Linked DNA regions of Drosophila melanogaster. The protein of the gene in region 1 interacts with the protein of each later gene in a pairwise test. Each region holds a gene or a part of one and is shown in the gene's direction. Other genes may lie near its edges. The genes, in order: Vps16B and CG15109.

The links.
Region 2: the proteins of Vps16B (region 1) and CG15109 interact in a two-hybrid assay, tested with the Drosophila melanogaster proteins (one large-scale study listed by BioGRID).

Annotation. Positions count from the first base shown.
Region 1 is NT_033777.3:29,812,940-29,820,841, reverse strand, and holds Vps16B (vacuolar protein sorting 16B), read left to right. Parts: upstream 1-4,390; 5' UTR 4,391-4,435; coding exon 4,436-5,779; 3' UTR 5,780-5,921; downstream 5,922-7,902. Other genes in the region: CG7829 (uncharacterized protein), read left to right, coding at 3,114-3,500, 3,552-3,926; ca (claret), read right to left, coding at 6,411-7,781, 7,844-7,902.
Region 2 is NT_033778.4:19,055,385-19,063,214, forward strand, and holds CG15109 (uncharacterized protein), read left to right. Parts: upstream 1-4,036; 5' UTR 4,037-4,102; intron 4,103-4,211; 5' UTR 4,212-4,234; coding exon 4,235-4,259; exon of another isoform or gene 4,260-4,350; coding exon 4,351-5,495; 3' UTR 5,496-5,681; downstream 5,682-7,830. Other genes in the region: Gpxl (glutathione peroxidase-like), read right to left, coding at 1-264, 318-529.

The DNA of each region.
Region 1 (7,902 bases):
ACCCAATCCCAATCCCCAAACGAAACCCAAACCGAAACCGAAACCCAACCGGTATCCAGTGGGTATGGGGCATCGACATGAACAGCCCAAGGAAACAGCGCCGCCTAACTGTGTCGCTGATCACAATCGATTAGTGCGAACAGTCGTTTATTGCCCAAATTACTGTTAAATGATCGTAGTTTCTGCGGGGCCAAGAATGCGGGGCCCCACTAAGCGTTCTCCCAACCACTGTGGGTTGCGGCTACTGCAAGGTTTAGAAAAAGGAAACTGAGGGAAGAGGCCAACTATGCGTGGATGGGCAGTAAAAGTAGGGAGTGCTGAAGGACCTCGGAACTCCTCTTTACTAACTAGAGAAATGGGTTTTGAAATTGGTAACAAAGGTAGGGGGAGATTAGATGAATCCACCTTGCAAAAACATTCTTGTCATAATAATAACTAAGCATAAAGAATACTTCTCTTCAATGTGCCGCTTTGTGCATATGCTACTACTATCTAGATCAATCAATCAGTCGAGCTAACACATCACAATACCGCTTTTGGGTTCACTGTTTTGGGCCAATCAGCACTTGTTAACTGTTTAGCACTTTCGAACTTTTTCTTTTATTTAACTGCCTTTGTTTCTGCGACCTTATAGCTCTTTTGGGTTTTTTTTTAATGTCGAACAGCGTCTAGTCTACACCCCTTCTGACCAACTTCGGCTCCATTCACATTCAGCCCCAATTCCAGGTGCATGATGTAATTAAACGATCTGCCAAGCGTCAATAGAAATCCGATCTTCGAGAGGGACCGCGCCATAGGAAAAAACTTTCACCATTCTGAATGTGTTAATGACTTCATTTCTCCGGTGACTAAAGCCTGCCAAAAATTTAACGGCAGGTATCACACTGTTAGATTAATTTCCCATTCGGCGAAACTTCGAATGTGGCCAATTTGGGATTCGTGGGATAATCACGGGACCACTAACGAACTACTGTGCTAATTTCCAGCTCTTAGGATTCACTGACTCTGAGATTTCTGCCAATATGCGTGAGTATCTCAGAATTTAGCCAAGAAAGCCGAACCAAGTCAGTTGGCATCCGTCGGGGGGGGAACTCCCATTCCAGGACGGAAGTCCTAATGTTTTGACGGAAGCCGCAGACTGGCTGCAGAACCTTGAAGAATGGTAAAGAATTGCGAAGAATCGTGAAGAACGTATATGTAACTGGGGCTGGAGTCTTTCGAGTCTTTTGCATTCTGCACAGTTTTTCTCAGTTTGCTGCGTTTTTGCAGTTCACTTTTTCAGAATGATTGTCTCCGTTTTTCAACGCTGGCATAGGCATAGTCATCCGTCAGTCCGATCACTGCCGTTTAAGTAAACCGGTTAACGTTTTTTGTTCAGATTTTTCTTAGTTATTCCTCAGTCGGTGCATCTGGGCAGCATCTGCTGAGTAGCGGTTCGATCGGAGGTGGAAAAGGCATAGCTCTGTTCCCACACCAGTGCTCATGATGTGAGGCATTCTAACATCTTCGTTTCAATATCCATATCCATATTCATAGTCATATCCATATCGTCAAACAATTACCTAATTAACAAGTTCGTTGCCTGAGTCTTTCCCGAATTTCAGCCTAGTCACACTGAGACAAAACACTTTCGCAGCCCAAGATCTTTCGCAATGGGAACAAGGGAGCACCGAACTTGACCATTCGATGGTCGCCGCAGAACTGAAGTCTTCCACGCCGCCGAGTGACTTGTTATAAAAATTAGATAAAGAAGTTCTGGGAGCAGCTCGGCTGGCGAAGGAAGAGAGAAGGCGCGAGAGAGCGGGACGCAGTTCGTCGTGGAAGTGGAATTCTTGCAAAAGAAAGTCTCGGGGCGATGGATGTGGATGATGCTCGCAGACGAAAGAACCTCAAACAGAAAGAAATTGTTAGCATGGTAAACACACTCGTGCTTGGTAATGGTGAGGTATCACCTGTGGCTGGATCTCTACACTCCGAACTCGAACGTGTTGGAGATGCAACCATGGTGATTGCGGTCAACGATCGAGAACAATGTGCACCTGTCTGCGCTCTTTGGCTCTCTTTGGGCCTAACATAGGTAACATATAAAGTTGGCATTATGGCTCCTCGAATAATTTTCTTATGGGCCTGTTAGCGCCCAAGGGCTGCCAGAAAAGCGACGCGTAACAATGGGTTTTGGCTTATAACTGTCGCTTGCGTTTTTACTATTTTTCACTTTCACTAATGAGAAATGAGGAGTGTGGAGTTGGGAGTTGGGAGTGAGAAAGGTACGTACGCAGGTGTCGCGTGAAATCGCTCGTCACCCATTTTCTCCCATTCTAGCCTAATCGGCTTAGGCCAAATCCACCATAACGATTTGTGTGGGCTTATGTTCGGTGTTTACTTTTACTCCATTTCGACTAGCCCCCATCCCCATCCCCCATTCGCACTGGCTGGAGATCAGTGATATCTGCCGATCTCGAATAGCCCACTTTATTGGCGGGGACAGCGCTTTCGACGTGGATATGCCAGTATGCCAGACCAGAGCCAGAATGGCCCATCAAACGGTGTTTGATTTCCAAATTTATGGGTCAAGCCAATGCAAATCAGTTGGCCGAGTCCGTTCGCCGAGAAAACGGGTCGTGCTTTGATAACAAATTGGGCAAACAATAGATGAGTGGAGGCCAGATTTGGCCATTAATGCTATTCAAATGATATACATTTGTGAAAAGCGAGGAGAATCGGACCGAAGAAAGCCCTAGTTATTGAAAGATGATTCATGGCAGATTGCTAGGTAAGTGGCCCCTTGGAGCACCTACTTGGTAGTTAAGTATTCCCTAATTTAATCCATTTGGTCCATTCTTTCCTCGCATTTCAACTATTTTGAACTTTAATTAGTCCGGCTCTTAATAACTGACGGCACGAACGGAGCTTAGTTACATATATTGTATATTCTGTCTGTCGGCGAAGCTGAAACAGTTGCGAGATAAACGAAACCTCTTCCTAATTACAAAGTAATGGGCACTTATTGAAATGCTTTTTCTCATTATTTTTCACGTTCTTCCGTACTTAAGGTGCGATCCAAAGACCGCACATTCCTACTTTAAAGCGATTCTTTCTCCGTTTAACTGCGAATGATGTACAAGTTATGGTGGAAATTGCTTCTCCTCCAGGCTTCTGGGTGTCTATCTCTGGAGAGTCGCCCAGATCCACGCATAGTCGGTGGCTTCCCAGCCGATATCGCCAACATTCCGTACATAGTGTCCATCCAACTGTACGGCATCCACCATTGTGGCGGCTCCATAATAAATAACCACACCATCCTAACGGCTGGCCATTGTCTGAACGGAGTGCCACATCGCCTGCTGAAAGTTAAGGTCGGCGGAACGTCGCGCTACCGAAAAGATGGGGAACTGTTCTCGGTCGCTGACCTGCAAGTCCACGAGAATTTCAATCCCAAGACCATGGACTATGACATCGGTATCATCAGGTTGACCAAAAACCTAACACTATCTAGAAAGGTTTGAAATACTCTCAGCTAAAATGAGTTAGTTCAGCAATTTGCTCTGTAGGTAAAGGCCATTCCCATAAACCCAGAGAGAGTAGCCGAAGGCACCTATGCCACCATTGCCGGCTGGGGATTTAAGTCCATGAATGGTCCTCCCTCGGACAGTCTGAGATATGCCCGAGTGCCGATCGTGAATCAGACCGCCTGCAGGAACCTACTGGGCAAAACTGTGACGGATCGGATGCTCTGTGCAGGCTACCTCAAGGGCGGCACGGATGCCTGCCAGATGGACTCCGGTGGACCCTTGTCGGTGAGGGAGCAGCTGGTGGGCATCGTGTCGTGGGGAGTGGGGTGCGCCCTGGCGGACAAGCCGGGAGTCTACTCCCGCCTCGATGCACTGCATCCCTGGCTAGACCAGGTCTTGAATAAGTCAAAGTAATGCAACATACTTGATTCGGGCAGTTTCACTATTTTAGCAGTTGGCACCCATGAAAGACGCATAAAAACGTGCACGTAAATGCTTTCTCGCTTAAAGTGAAAAAATCTACGCGGATTTAATCGTACAAAATAATAAAAACTTTAAGGTTCATTAAAAGCCAACTATTTGTGAATAAAAGAAAGCGAAAAGAGTTTATGATGAAACTTGATGTTCTGCTGAATTAGCCGTTGCTAGTTTATTGCACAAATCAAATGCGTTCCCGTTTCTAGCCAATTTGGAAAGAAGTTCTAAATTCTAAATTGCTTAATTTTCTGTGTCAATCGTTTGATTCAACGAAGATTATAAACAATTAACAGCTTTTTCATAACGGATTTCACTGAAACTATTTTTAAATATTTGAATAGCCGAAAATAGTGCGACCATGTCTGTGCATTAAACGGTAAATTCATTAGCGCAGCCACACTGGTCGTCACAAAATAGAACCTTACATTTAATAACGAATAATAACAATGGACCTGCAATTGGACAGCGAAAGCTATTGGAACCGATCCTCTCGCGCAGCGTTCAGCTTCGACGACGAAGACGAGGTGGACCTCGCCCCGGATCTGGTCAGCAATGGCATCCTCGCCGACGACACCATTTCGGAGGCCAGCTTCAATAACAGTGTCGCCCTGAATCTCTCGATCAAATCCATTCTGAGCGAGGAGGCATTGAAACTGGTGCTGCAGGAACAGGCGCTGGACGACAGGGTCCTGCCCAAGGGTGTCTCGCCGGAGGAGGAGCTGAAGCTGCTGCGCCGACAGCTTCAGAGCACCCTGTACAGCCCCAATCTAGAAGCCACTGCACAGAAGCTGCTGCAAGGAAAGACTGCGCCCTTGGAGATGTTCAAGTCGCTGCATGAGAAGCAGCAGCTGCTGGACACCCTGATGGCACAAGGTGGTGGGCATGCCGTCATTACAGTGTTGCTCTTCCTCAAGAGAACTCTGAATACCACGCAGTTTCATGGCATTCTGAGGGAGAGACCCAAGGCCTTGGAGCAGTATCTGAGTTACCTGAAGGAAAGTGGCGACCTGGCGGGCCATATTGAGCTACTGCAGCTATTTGGACGCCACCAGGAGGCGGCTCTTAAGCAGTTTCAGGCAGCGCTCGCTTCCGGAGATACGAGCACCAGGAAGAAACACCTCCAGCTTTTGGTGGATGCCTATGCCACAGCGGGAGTGGGTGTAATACCTCTCTACGAGCAGGTTTTTCACGCTGCCCTCAAGATGCAGCAGCTAATGGAGAAGGATAGCGCGCTCGGCAAGCTGCTTCGGGATCAACCCACTCCAGTGGAAGTGCTCTATGCTTGCTGCCAGGTGAACAGCAATTGGAAAGAGCAGGATATGCTCAAACCAGTGTCACCTCAGCGTTTTGCCGCCGACCAGCAAATATCGCCGGCCCAGTACGAGTGGACGGCGCTCAATGAAAGGGCGCAGGCACAGGCTTATGCGGATCTGGAGTGCATATTTGAGCGGGTGCCCAGTTGGCATCCGCTGAAGACCAAACAGTTTCACATCAGCTTCGATCTGACGCTGGCCGTGCTCCGGCTGTACGAGCTGCAGGCTCCCTCGACCGTCCTTCAGCTATTCCTCTCCAAGATGGGCAACAGCGTTGAGAAACTGGCGCTAGCCCAGCGGGTGAAGTGCATCAAGGCGGTCATAGATGCCATGGCCGGGTTGAAGCAGCAGCAGGAGCTACAGCAGCTCAAGGACACCCTGCCCGAGCGATCCGAGGAGCAGTTCTACTGCGAGAATGCGCTGAAAAGCCTCCAGAGCAAGCGATGGACTACGGACAACATCAAGCTCAAGTTGTAAAATTGACTTTCTTTTACTTGTATAAACGTATTTTATTGTTAATCATTTATATGTGTATATAATTATATTACTACTACTCTGGTTTTATTAAATAATTGCAAATCACAAGCTGAATATCGAATAAAAAACAAAAATTTGTATCATTTGTATGTTTCATGTGTATATCCTGCAGCCTCCGTTGATCTGTTCGATGAGCAGTTTTGGATTACTTTCCTTCGGTCTCAGATTTTTGTGTAGTTTATTGAGTAAACAAATAAAAGCAGGCGTGGCCAATGGCAAACAAAGCGTTACAAAAATTGGATTCTTTAAACAATTTGTTTGTCTTAAATATTTCGTTTAAATAACAGCGCTGTAAAAAGCATTTGATGTATAAATAACCGCAAACAACAATTATGGTATATATATATAGTTACGCGTAAAAATGTAAGGGAAGATGGGTTCTAGGAGTTGGGAGTCCGGGAGTCTGTGAGTCTGGGGTTGTGTGTGCTGGGGGCAGTCCTCGGTTCTAGGTCAGAACTCATAACGAAACATATTAAACAAGACAGACGGGCCCTCAACTGATGCGTGTTGAACGAAATTTCAGAGGATCCAGGATCTGAACCGGAAACGAAGCTCCAGGGCCCAGCCACTGCTAATTGGCAGCATCGCAGTCCGAGTAGCTGAGCAGGCGCTGGCACAGGATCGTCTTGAACTTGACCGTAAAGCTATCGAATATGACATCGGTGTCCTGCAGCTGCTCGAGCTCCTGGCCGGCGGACGTGGCCGCTTGATTGCTGTCCGCAGCCGCGATGAGCTGCTTGAACTTCTGGTTGAGATTCTGCTCCAGCGTCGAGTTGTTGTTGTTGAAGTAGAACACGTAGGCCAGCTCCAGCAGATAGTAGTCCAGGTCGCCCATGAAGAACCGCTCGCACTCCAGCATATCGAACTTGCGTTCCAGGAAGTGCAGACACAGGTGGTAGATGAGGTGCTTTAGGTCGGTTCTCCTCAGCGGCACATAGCCCGTGTCCTTGCTGAAGTACTCAAACAACTTGAGGGTGCGCTGGGCGGAACCGCAGCTTTGCAGGCACAGCCGGAAGGCCTCTACGAAGCGAAAGTTGAGCATGCAGATACGTATGCGGTACTCGTTGCGATGTGGACGGGCGCACTCGCCAATCTTGTCGGGATTATACAACCCGTGAAAGGCGTACAGACAGTAATGGATGTAGTGGCGCAGATGCTGCAGCGACGACTCTCCCATTCCCTCGGTGCTCTGAGTGTAGGTGCTGCCATCGTCATCGTCGCGGCCCAGCAACTGCTCTGCATTCGCGGGCATACCAGATCCAACTGCCTGTTCTGGCAGCGGCACGTAGCTCTGCTCCTCGGGTGTGTAGTCCATGTCCAGCGAACTGTGGGCGTCGCCCAGCACAGGAGCATTGTAAGAGAAGCTGGCATCGTTCTGACTCAGGTTTTCGAGGCTACTCAGCATGTCGTCCGAGTCCTGACCGGTGGCCGCGTGCTCCGTGCTGCTTTTGTAGTTCGGAGTGCCCACCGAGCAGTGCTGATCGAAGCTTATGTTTGCCGGCTGCAAGAAATGCGGCTGATATGGTGGCATAACCTTAAGGTATCTGACCGGATCCTGGTCTAGTCGAATGCGCGGTCTCGGCAGATTGATCTCCACCGGTACTTCCACGCACTGGCTCTCGAATCGCACCAGACGCTTGGTCGCTGGAAGGCACACCACCCTCTGACGCATCCTCTCCACACTGGGCCCCAAGTCCCGACCGCACTGACCGTTCGAGTTGCCGCCGAAGGCACGCACAACGTGATCGGTGGTCATGACCAGCGTGAAATCCGAACCACAGTCTACGTACATCGGACGCTCGATGCTGTCGATGGGCGAGGGCTTAAGCACCGCCCTTCGATCTTTGTCCTCGGTGCCGAGTTGGTGTTCCAGGTTCTTGCCCCACGTATAGAGTGTGCAGCTGGACGAGATCAGGCAGAAGTGGAACAAGCCACTGGAGATCTATAAAAAAGGAGATTTCAAATTAAAAAAGCAAGCCATGGCTGCACTCTGTCATAAATTACCTGCAGGATTCGTCCTGCCACCTCGCTGGTGTCCACTAGATGGGGCGTCAGGTGCTCCG
Region 2 (7,830 bases), on another chromosome or scaffold:
AAATTCCATTCGATATCATGCTGGTGGCGCGTTAGGAGCTTGTACAGCGGATCTGCCTGAGCTCCCTTTACATCTATCTTGGCAAAGAGGTGTCCTATGTTGGCTCCCTCCCTGCGCAGGTGATCCAACATTTCCTGGCCATCGGACTCGGGCATTTGACCCCCAAACTGGTTACAGGGAAAGTTTAAAATTCTCAAGCCCTGGTCTTCATATTCCTCGAGTAAATAGCGCAAACCGTTGTACTGAGATAAAGTAAGTCCGCATCTGAAGTAAAGGGTGGGCCAAGTTATTAAGAACTTTCTGTGGATCATTCTTACTTGGAGGCAATGTTGACGATAAGCAACACATGGCCGGCGAATGTATCGAGTTGCACTGGATTCCCAAACGTATCTCGAACGGTGAGAGCGTGTATCGTCAGACGCCATCGCATATCCTGCAAATCCTGTTGCAATCTGCTGCGTGTTTGTAATACTACCACCAAGGCCACTGCAACCAAAAGGCCTGGGAAAAGAAATTCTTTATCGAACATCGTCTAGCGTGCTAACTGCATTTGGGATCGCTAAGTGAAGCTGGGAAAACGCTTTAAGTGAAAATCGATTCGAGAGGCTAATTGTGCGTGAAGCGACTGTTAAAAATCGCATTTAAATGTGCGGCCCTTTCGTTTCGGTGCAGACACACACACACACATACACATGCCCCAAAAAAGTGGCAGCTAAAATTGAATTTGCCCAAAAAGAGCTAAAGTTGCATATGCTGACCCACGAAGCGAGTTGCACGTTAACTTAATGTTAAACTTTTTTTGGCCTCTGCCTGCCACACGAAATGAGAGCACAAAACACACATACACACACACACACACAGATGCACACTGAAAACAACAACAACAAAAAGTTGAACAATCGTAACGAAATAATTGAATTTTCATTTCCGTTTTATGTGTTTACTTCCGCTTCATGGACGCGGCACCATTTTCTCCAGCTTTTCCGTTTGCCCTGTCCATATGTGTGTGTGTGTGTGTGTGTGTGGGCTTGGTGATTTCGGCCTATTTGTATACAAAAGGCAGTCAATTTCTGCCAGCTTGAGGAAACTTTTTAAGTCAATTGTCAAAAAGTTCTTAACATCTTTTCCCCAGCCACGCCCCACTTTTGTGGACTCGGTATGGCTCTGTTTCTGTTTCATTTTCGCTGCCAAAATTGAAATATAATTCGGTAAAGTTGCGCCTCTTTTCGGTTCGGCTTTTCCACTTAGACGACGTTTGGATTTGGGCCATAAATCAATGCCAGGCGAAAGGCGTTCGACTGAAATTGATTTAGAATGCGTGGAATGGGCGTAACTTCTTACGGTCGTCAGTCAAGCTTCTGCACTAAAAACAGTCCGAAATGCCAGTGCATTTTATAGTTTGGCTGCAAATCACTTTTCAAACTCTTTGACACGCAGAAAAATATGTCACACTTTCATAAAGCTAAGAAGGAAAAGGCATGATATATTTTAAAACCTATGTAAACAGAATTATATGGCATTATTAAATGCAAAAACAAGAAGACTATTTACTTTAACGATTTTTTCCCATTAGAAAAATATATCCAACTTAACTCACAGAAGAAAGCACCTTTAATAGATCACAGCTGAAATTGTGATTATCATAAAATCAGCATAGAATGATTGCCAACCGGTTTTATAGCAATAACCAGCGATTATGCTAAAAGACATCTCCGTCAGACTCGAAGTCAAATCCATCGAGCATCCAAGATGATCAACTATAGCGGTTTTGCATATTTGATGCACTTGGCATAAACTTAATAAACTTTGCCCCCAGTTACAGGTTATAAACCCGGCGCACCAAACTCGTAAAGATGGAAGCGCGTTAAAGTCACTGAGCCACAACTCGTTGTTTTATGACCAACTCGATGAACTTGCCGCTCCCCCCGTTTGCCATTTCCATCTGGTTTTGTCTAAGCATCTGCCATCATTCTGGCTTTTGTTGCACCATTTTTCACTATTAACAGTAGCCATAAAAGTAGCGTTTGCGCCAATAAAACTTTTGACATGTGGGGCAGGAGGGTTTCCTTAACGTTTTTTTTTCTTACTTCTAGCCGGGCCAGGTGTTACCTTCAACCTTTGCACCTGAGCTTCTCCAGTTGCGTCTGCTGGTCCTGCATCTCCACTTGTCATTTGCCACTGTGGCCCCAGCTACTTGCTACTTGCCACTTGCGCATTTAATTAAGTTTACGCCGCGCTGCACACGCAAAAGGACGAAGGACGTTATTAATTAAATTCCTTTATACACAGGTTAAGCCAGCCATCCCCTCCACCACCTTTCGCCTTTGTGTGTCAACAATTGGAATATTAACGAGGCAACTAATGAAAGTTTACAAAGCCGGAGTCTTTTCCGCCGAAACAAATCGAAAGGGAAACATTTAATAAAAGTCGCACTCACCGATTTTCCGCCCGAGATCAAAGCAATTGCTAGACCAGTTCCCCTAGCACCACTTGACCCACACGGCGGATGCGTGATTTTCGCTACCAATTATAGTGGATCGTCTTGGGAGCCTTTTTGCAGTGTCTGCGTGCAAATCCCGCCGCGTTGATGCACTGCGGCAAAGGTTTCGGACCCCTAATAAGCCACGACCTTAACGGACTCACACATCAAAGCAAGAGCACGCACACCCACTTACACACTGGCTTATAAGCCCCAGACACGCAGACATATGCAAAAAGGATATGTATTAACTGTACGCATTTAAGCCGCTTGTCGAACGCGCACAAATCCAGAAGGGGAAAATCGACTTTTATTCAATACACTCGAAAAATCAACTTTGGCAGATAAAAAACGAGAAGATGAAAACGAGACAGCAGGATGGACCGGAAAAACGGGGTTTTCGAGGAGTGGGGCTACAATATGCGAGTATAAATGTGCAAATCCCCAATGCAGCAACAGCTGCTGCTCAGCCACGCCCCCTTTCGACCCCCCTCCCCGCCTTCAGTGCACTCGTTTGGCATTTACATTTAAGCTGATAAGGAAAAGTGCCTGCTCCTCGGGGTCCCTTGGTTTACCGCCTCCTGCACCCCAAAATCCACCTGAGCGCCAAGTCGCCTCGAAGGGCGCACACACACACACACACACAAGCACATCGAAGACGGCGATGAGAATTGTTTGTTGAAAATGTCGCCAGTTTATGAAATCGCGTGCGTTGGCAGCAAGGAATTCACATTTGACGCACGCACTTTACATTATTAATGCCTAAAGACGAAGGCGGCAGAAACAAGTTCAAGTTTTAGGCTAAAAAAACGGGAATCGAGAAAGAAATACCCTTTTGAAAGTAACCAAAATTCATTTGATATATAACACAAAAGAAGATATAGTTGTTACATTTTGAACAAATGGGAAATTATAGTTTAAGTCAATAAGTCAATCCATGCAGATTCATAACCTATATTTCATATCTTCGATAATTCTTATATACCTTTTATATCAAAAGTTACATGGAGTAGGTGAGTAGTGCTGTGTGCGTGCTTGTGTGCGTAGAGAAGCATCGATGTTTTGGAAAATGCTCCTGCCATTTCGCAAATGTATCGCATTTCCGTTTGGGTGTTTGCACTTTTACGCTTCGCTGAGAATTTTCCAATTTTTGCTGCTAATATTTATTAATCAAGTAATAGCTACTCACACGCAGGCACACACTACGTGTATGAACACTTGAGCTTGTGCCTGTGTGTGAGTGTGAGGTCGCTTGATTTTTGCACGAAAAATTGATTGGAAATTTATAAGCTAAACTTTTTCCACTGTTTGCTTTTGTTTGCGGCCCACGAAACAAACTTTTTTGGTGTGCGCGGTTGTGTTTTGTTACTTTTTTTTTTGTTTTTGTACCATTGCTGCCATTTGCAGCACTTGAAAAGGTCGCCACAAATGGAAGTGAGTGTGTGTGGAAAATCCCCATCAGAAAAATATTGAAATTCGATTTTTTTTTTCGTACTCTCAGTAACCTTTTACCAGGTCCCCAGCTGTCTGTCAAAGCCTCGCCATGAGGCAGGAAGCATTTCGAATTATTTTCAGTACAAACTTTGTGCCGAGCACACCTAGAACCCACTCCAATCAAATAAAGTAAGTTCAAATTGTAACTATTCTGGTGGAAAAAAATCTACAATAAATATTCAACTCTGAGAATATTTGTGGTCACTTTTCACTTTTTCAACTCAACTGTCTTCCACAGCGCTGCCTATCATGCAATACAAGATGAACTACTTGCTGATCCTTGGGTGTAAGTATACGTTAGTTTTCAGTACCATCTAGCATGCAATTATTTATAATTAATTGCGTGTATTTCAAACGCATCCATTGTTTTGCTTAAGGTGTCCTCATGTTGATGCGGCCGATGTACGGCGATTGTCTGCGCATGAAGCGTTCTCAAGGCGATACTGCAAGTGATTATAATGAAACCACTACAATGGACAATACTGCTTCACTGAGCGGAAAAGCCACCGTGTTGGCCAATAGTACCATTACCACCGCTAACATGACTGAAGCCGCCACATCTCCGGAGCAGAAGATTACTGCTGGACCGGTGCGCAGTATGGGAGTTCGTGGAAAAACCACTAGCTCCACAACCACCACCGCATTATCATCATCACTTGCTGCTGTGGCATCCACATCCTCGCCTCCGGATGCCGGAAAATTTCAGCTAGTGGAGGATCTGCTGGGACTGCGCCGTCCCAAGAGGCGTTTGGGTAGCCTGATGGACGACAGTCTGCAGCCACGACAATTGCACCACAAGCGTCGCCCAGCGGTGGAAGCTGCTGCTATGGCCACCTCATTGCCACCCAACCCTAATCCCAATCTTAATCCCAATCCCAATCCCAATTCCAATCCCTACGTGTACTACAACAAGCTGGTTTCGCCAGATGGCAAGCACGAGATAAAGGAGTTCGAGCTGCTGGCGCCCAACATGATGATTGAGAGTGTGCAGCAGGAGCTGAACTACGGTCCGGAAGTTCTGCCACCGGAATTGGCCGGAGTGCTACTGCTGAATGCAGCCGAGAACACTCCACGCGGACTTCATAATGCAGCACCACTGAAGCACCATCGCAAGCATAAATCCTCGCCGGCTGTGCCACCGATGCTCTACATGCTGCAACAGCTGTTGCAGCCCAATTTCGAGGGAAATCTCTTGCTGGAACCACCAAAGGAGCCACAGCGTCACGTTAGTTCACCCCTCTATCAATTCCTTGATGGCGCCATGGATCTGGCTTTGCGCAACAATCCCGATGTCATCGATCACCTGCTGGGCGATCACCTAGAATTGGAGCTGGAGATGGAAAAAAAGAAGGGCATCAAGGATAAGGCACTAACGAAGAAGGCCAAGAAGGAGGCACAGAAGATGGAACCCAAGGAGGAGCTCATCGTCAGCTGTCCCATTCACCATGAGCACCATGCCAATCGTAATGGCGACGTGGTCGAAGATGATGTCGTTTTGGTGAACGAGTGCCATCTAGTGTGAACCTGAAACGGGCAGCTGTCACAATGTTTCTTAAAAATTTTAGGTTACTTGTTTTTCCGCATTCTTTTTTTTATTTTTTGTTGCTTCAACTGGAAGATGTTTATATTTCTTGCATATGTAAGGAGTGGCGAGACCATTTTTACTTTGTATACAAAAAACAGACAATAAAAACTAAATACACATCATAATAACTATGTTCAGCGGAAGAATATAAAAAATCAAGCTCGAAAGTTGCAATATAATCCTTCGGGAATGCCATCATCGAGCAGAATGGCCATTGTTCCGCCCGTAACAAATATCAAACTTACGCTCCAATCGACACCCGATCCCCTGGGTGGCCTTCTCCTTGAAGTTCTCCTTCGTTTTCATTAACAAAATCGATTTCCTACCTTGAAATGTCCTGAGGGGAGAGGTGGATGAGCGGGAAAATTGATATGCCGAGTGCGACAGTGCAGCCAAACGAGCAAACAAATCTAACATACAAACCCTTGACTGCGGATGAGAATATATCCTCCATTTATAGCAATACATGTGTGTGTGTGTATGGGTGTAGGGGTGGGACATAGCGAACGGAGCCGAAAGGCAAAAGTTTTGCCGGCTGCCACTGCTAAATGCTGCTAATTTCGTATACAATAAAACTAATGTAAATTGCCACTTGACGTTCACTGGGCGTGTAAGTGTGTGCCATAGTATGTGCAAGTGTACTGGCTGCACATACATAGACATTAAATGGGGCACATAATGTGCCGGGAGTCAGGAATCGAGAATCAGAATTCAGGCTTCAGGACTGGGAACACCAGGGAAAGGCAAGCCATTGAAATAGCGAGTGTCATGGGTGCCTGGCCATCAGCATAAATACAAATTTGCTTCACAAATCCACGTATATAATCTATATAAACTGCACTAGATGCCAGCAGTACATCTACATGTGCCAAGCGGAAAAGTGCAACGCAGCATTCGTAAAATTGCGTAGCTCCTTCGACTTCAAGATACATTTGGAAAAATAGAAAGAATGGAATAAGATTGCACAATAATTATATTTGGAGAGTGGTATAAAGATTTAATTATTTAATTAAATATTTATAGTGTTTCATACGTTAACAGACATAAAAATATAATAATTAAAGGACGTACTTGCTTATTTCTAGGAATTTAACATTTATATAATAATTTCTAGTACACTCAAAAAATATCTTATATTTGTTATAGATATAAAAGTAAGGCAAACATTATTTCTCTCTCTGTGGTGGCACTGCCAATGTCCCTGGGGTGTTAACTGGAGTGTAAATGCGAATGTATGTGCAATTCCCGCTGCTAAGTGACCAGGCCCCCTCCAACATAGACCCTCGCACACATATATATTTATTTACAAGTGTAAATAATAAATGCTTGCATCAGCCATTCCGCATTCCACTCAACTCCAAGGTCCTGTCAGCACTGCAAGTGCATTAACTTTTGCCACACTTTCGTCACCAATGCCATTTTCGCTTTAAGTTGACATCTGCGTAAATAGCTTTAAGTTGCGTACAATACAAATATAAATATAAATATAAATATAAATTTCGAGAAAGGCAGGCGGCGACCACTTTCGCTAATCTCTTTGCTTTTGAAATTTATGGCTTCATTATGAGGATGACAAAGACGAGCGTTGCCAGGACATTGCCAGGACTCTTCTGTCAGTCACTCGCTCTGTCTGGCTGTCGGTCTTTCGGTGCCTTTGTTGTTAATGTTATGGTTGTCATTTGGAAGCTTGTAATTACGTTAGCCACAAGTTGTTGCCAAAAGTTGTAATCTAGATTTCATAGTCAAAAGGCGACAGGCAACAACATAAAATTCAATTGAACTGTTGAGTCAGCAAATATCAAATGAATGGCAATGGTGCCTTTAAAATGCCGTTAAAGTCATGGCCCAAGTATCAGGAATCTGCTCAGTAATATATATAAACATTTTTTGGACAACTAAGGGAAAACTTTTCGCAAATAACCAGCAAATAAATTGCTGAATATAAATTGCAAAATCAGTTTTGCTGCTTTTAAGCTCACTCTGGCATTATCAATTTTAAACGAAAAGTGTTTTACTTAACTGGTTTGGCGTTTTTAAAGTGGTTTAATGGTAATTCGATAACCATAATTTGTATGCTAATAAATACAGCAATTGCTGTTAGGTAAAATCAGTTTGGTAATACTTAAATTTGAATGCAAGTGAAATACATTTAAAATTGTTTTTATTGAAATTAAGTATGTTAAATTGGTGTACAGATTGTTGTTTGTGTAAATTGATTTTTTAAATCAATTTTAACATCTTTTAAATATGGTTAGTGTTGCTTAGTTACGCA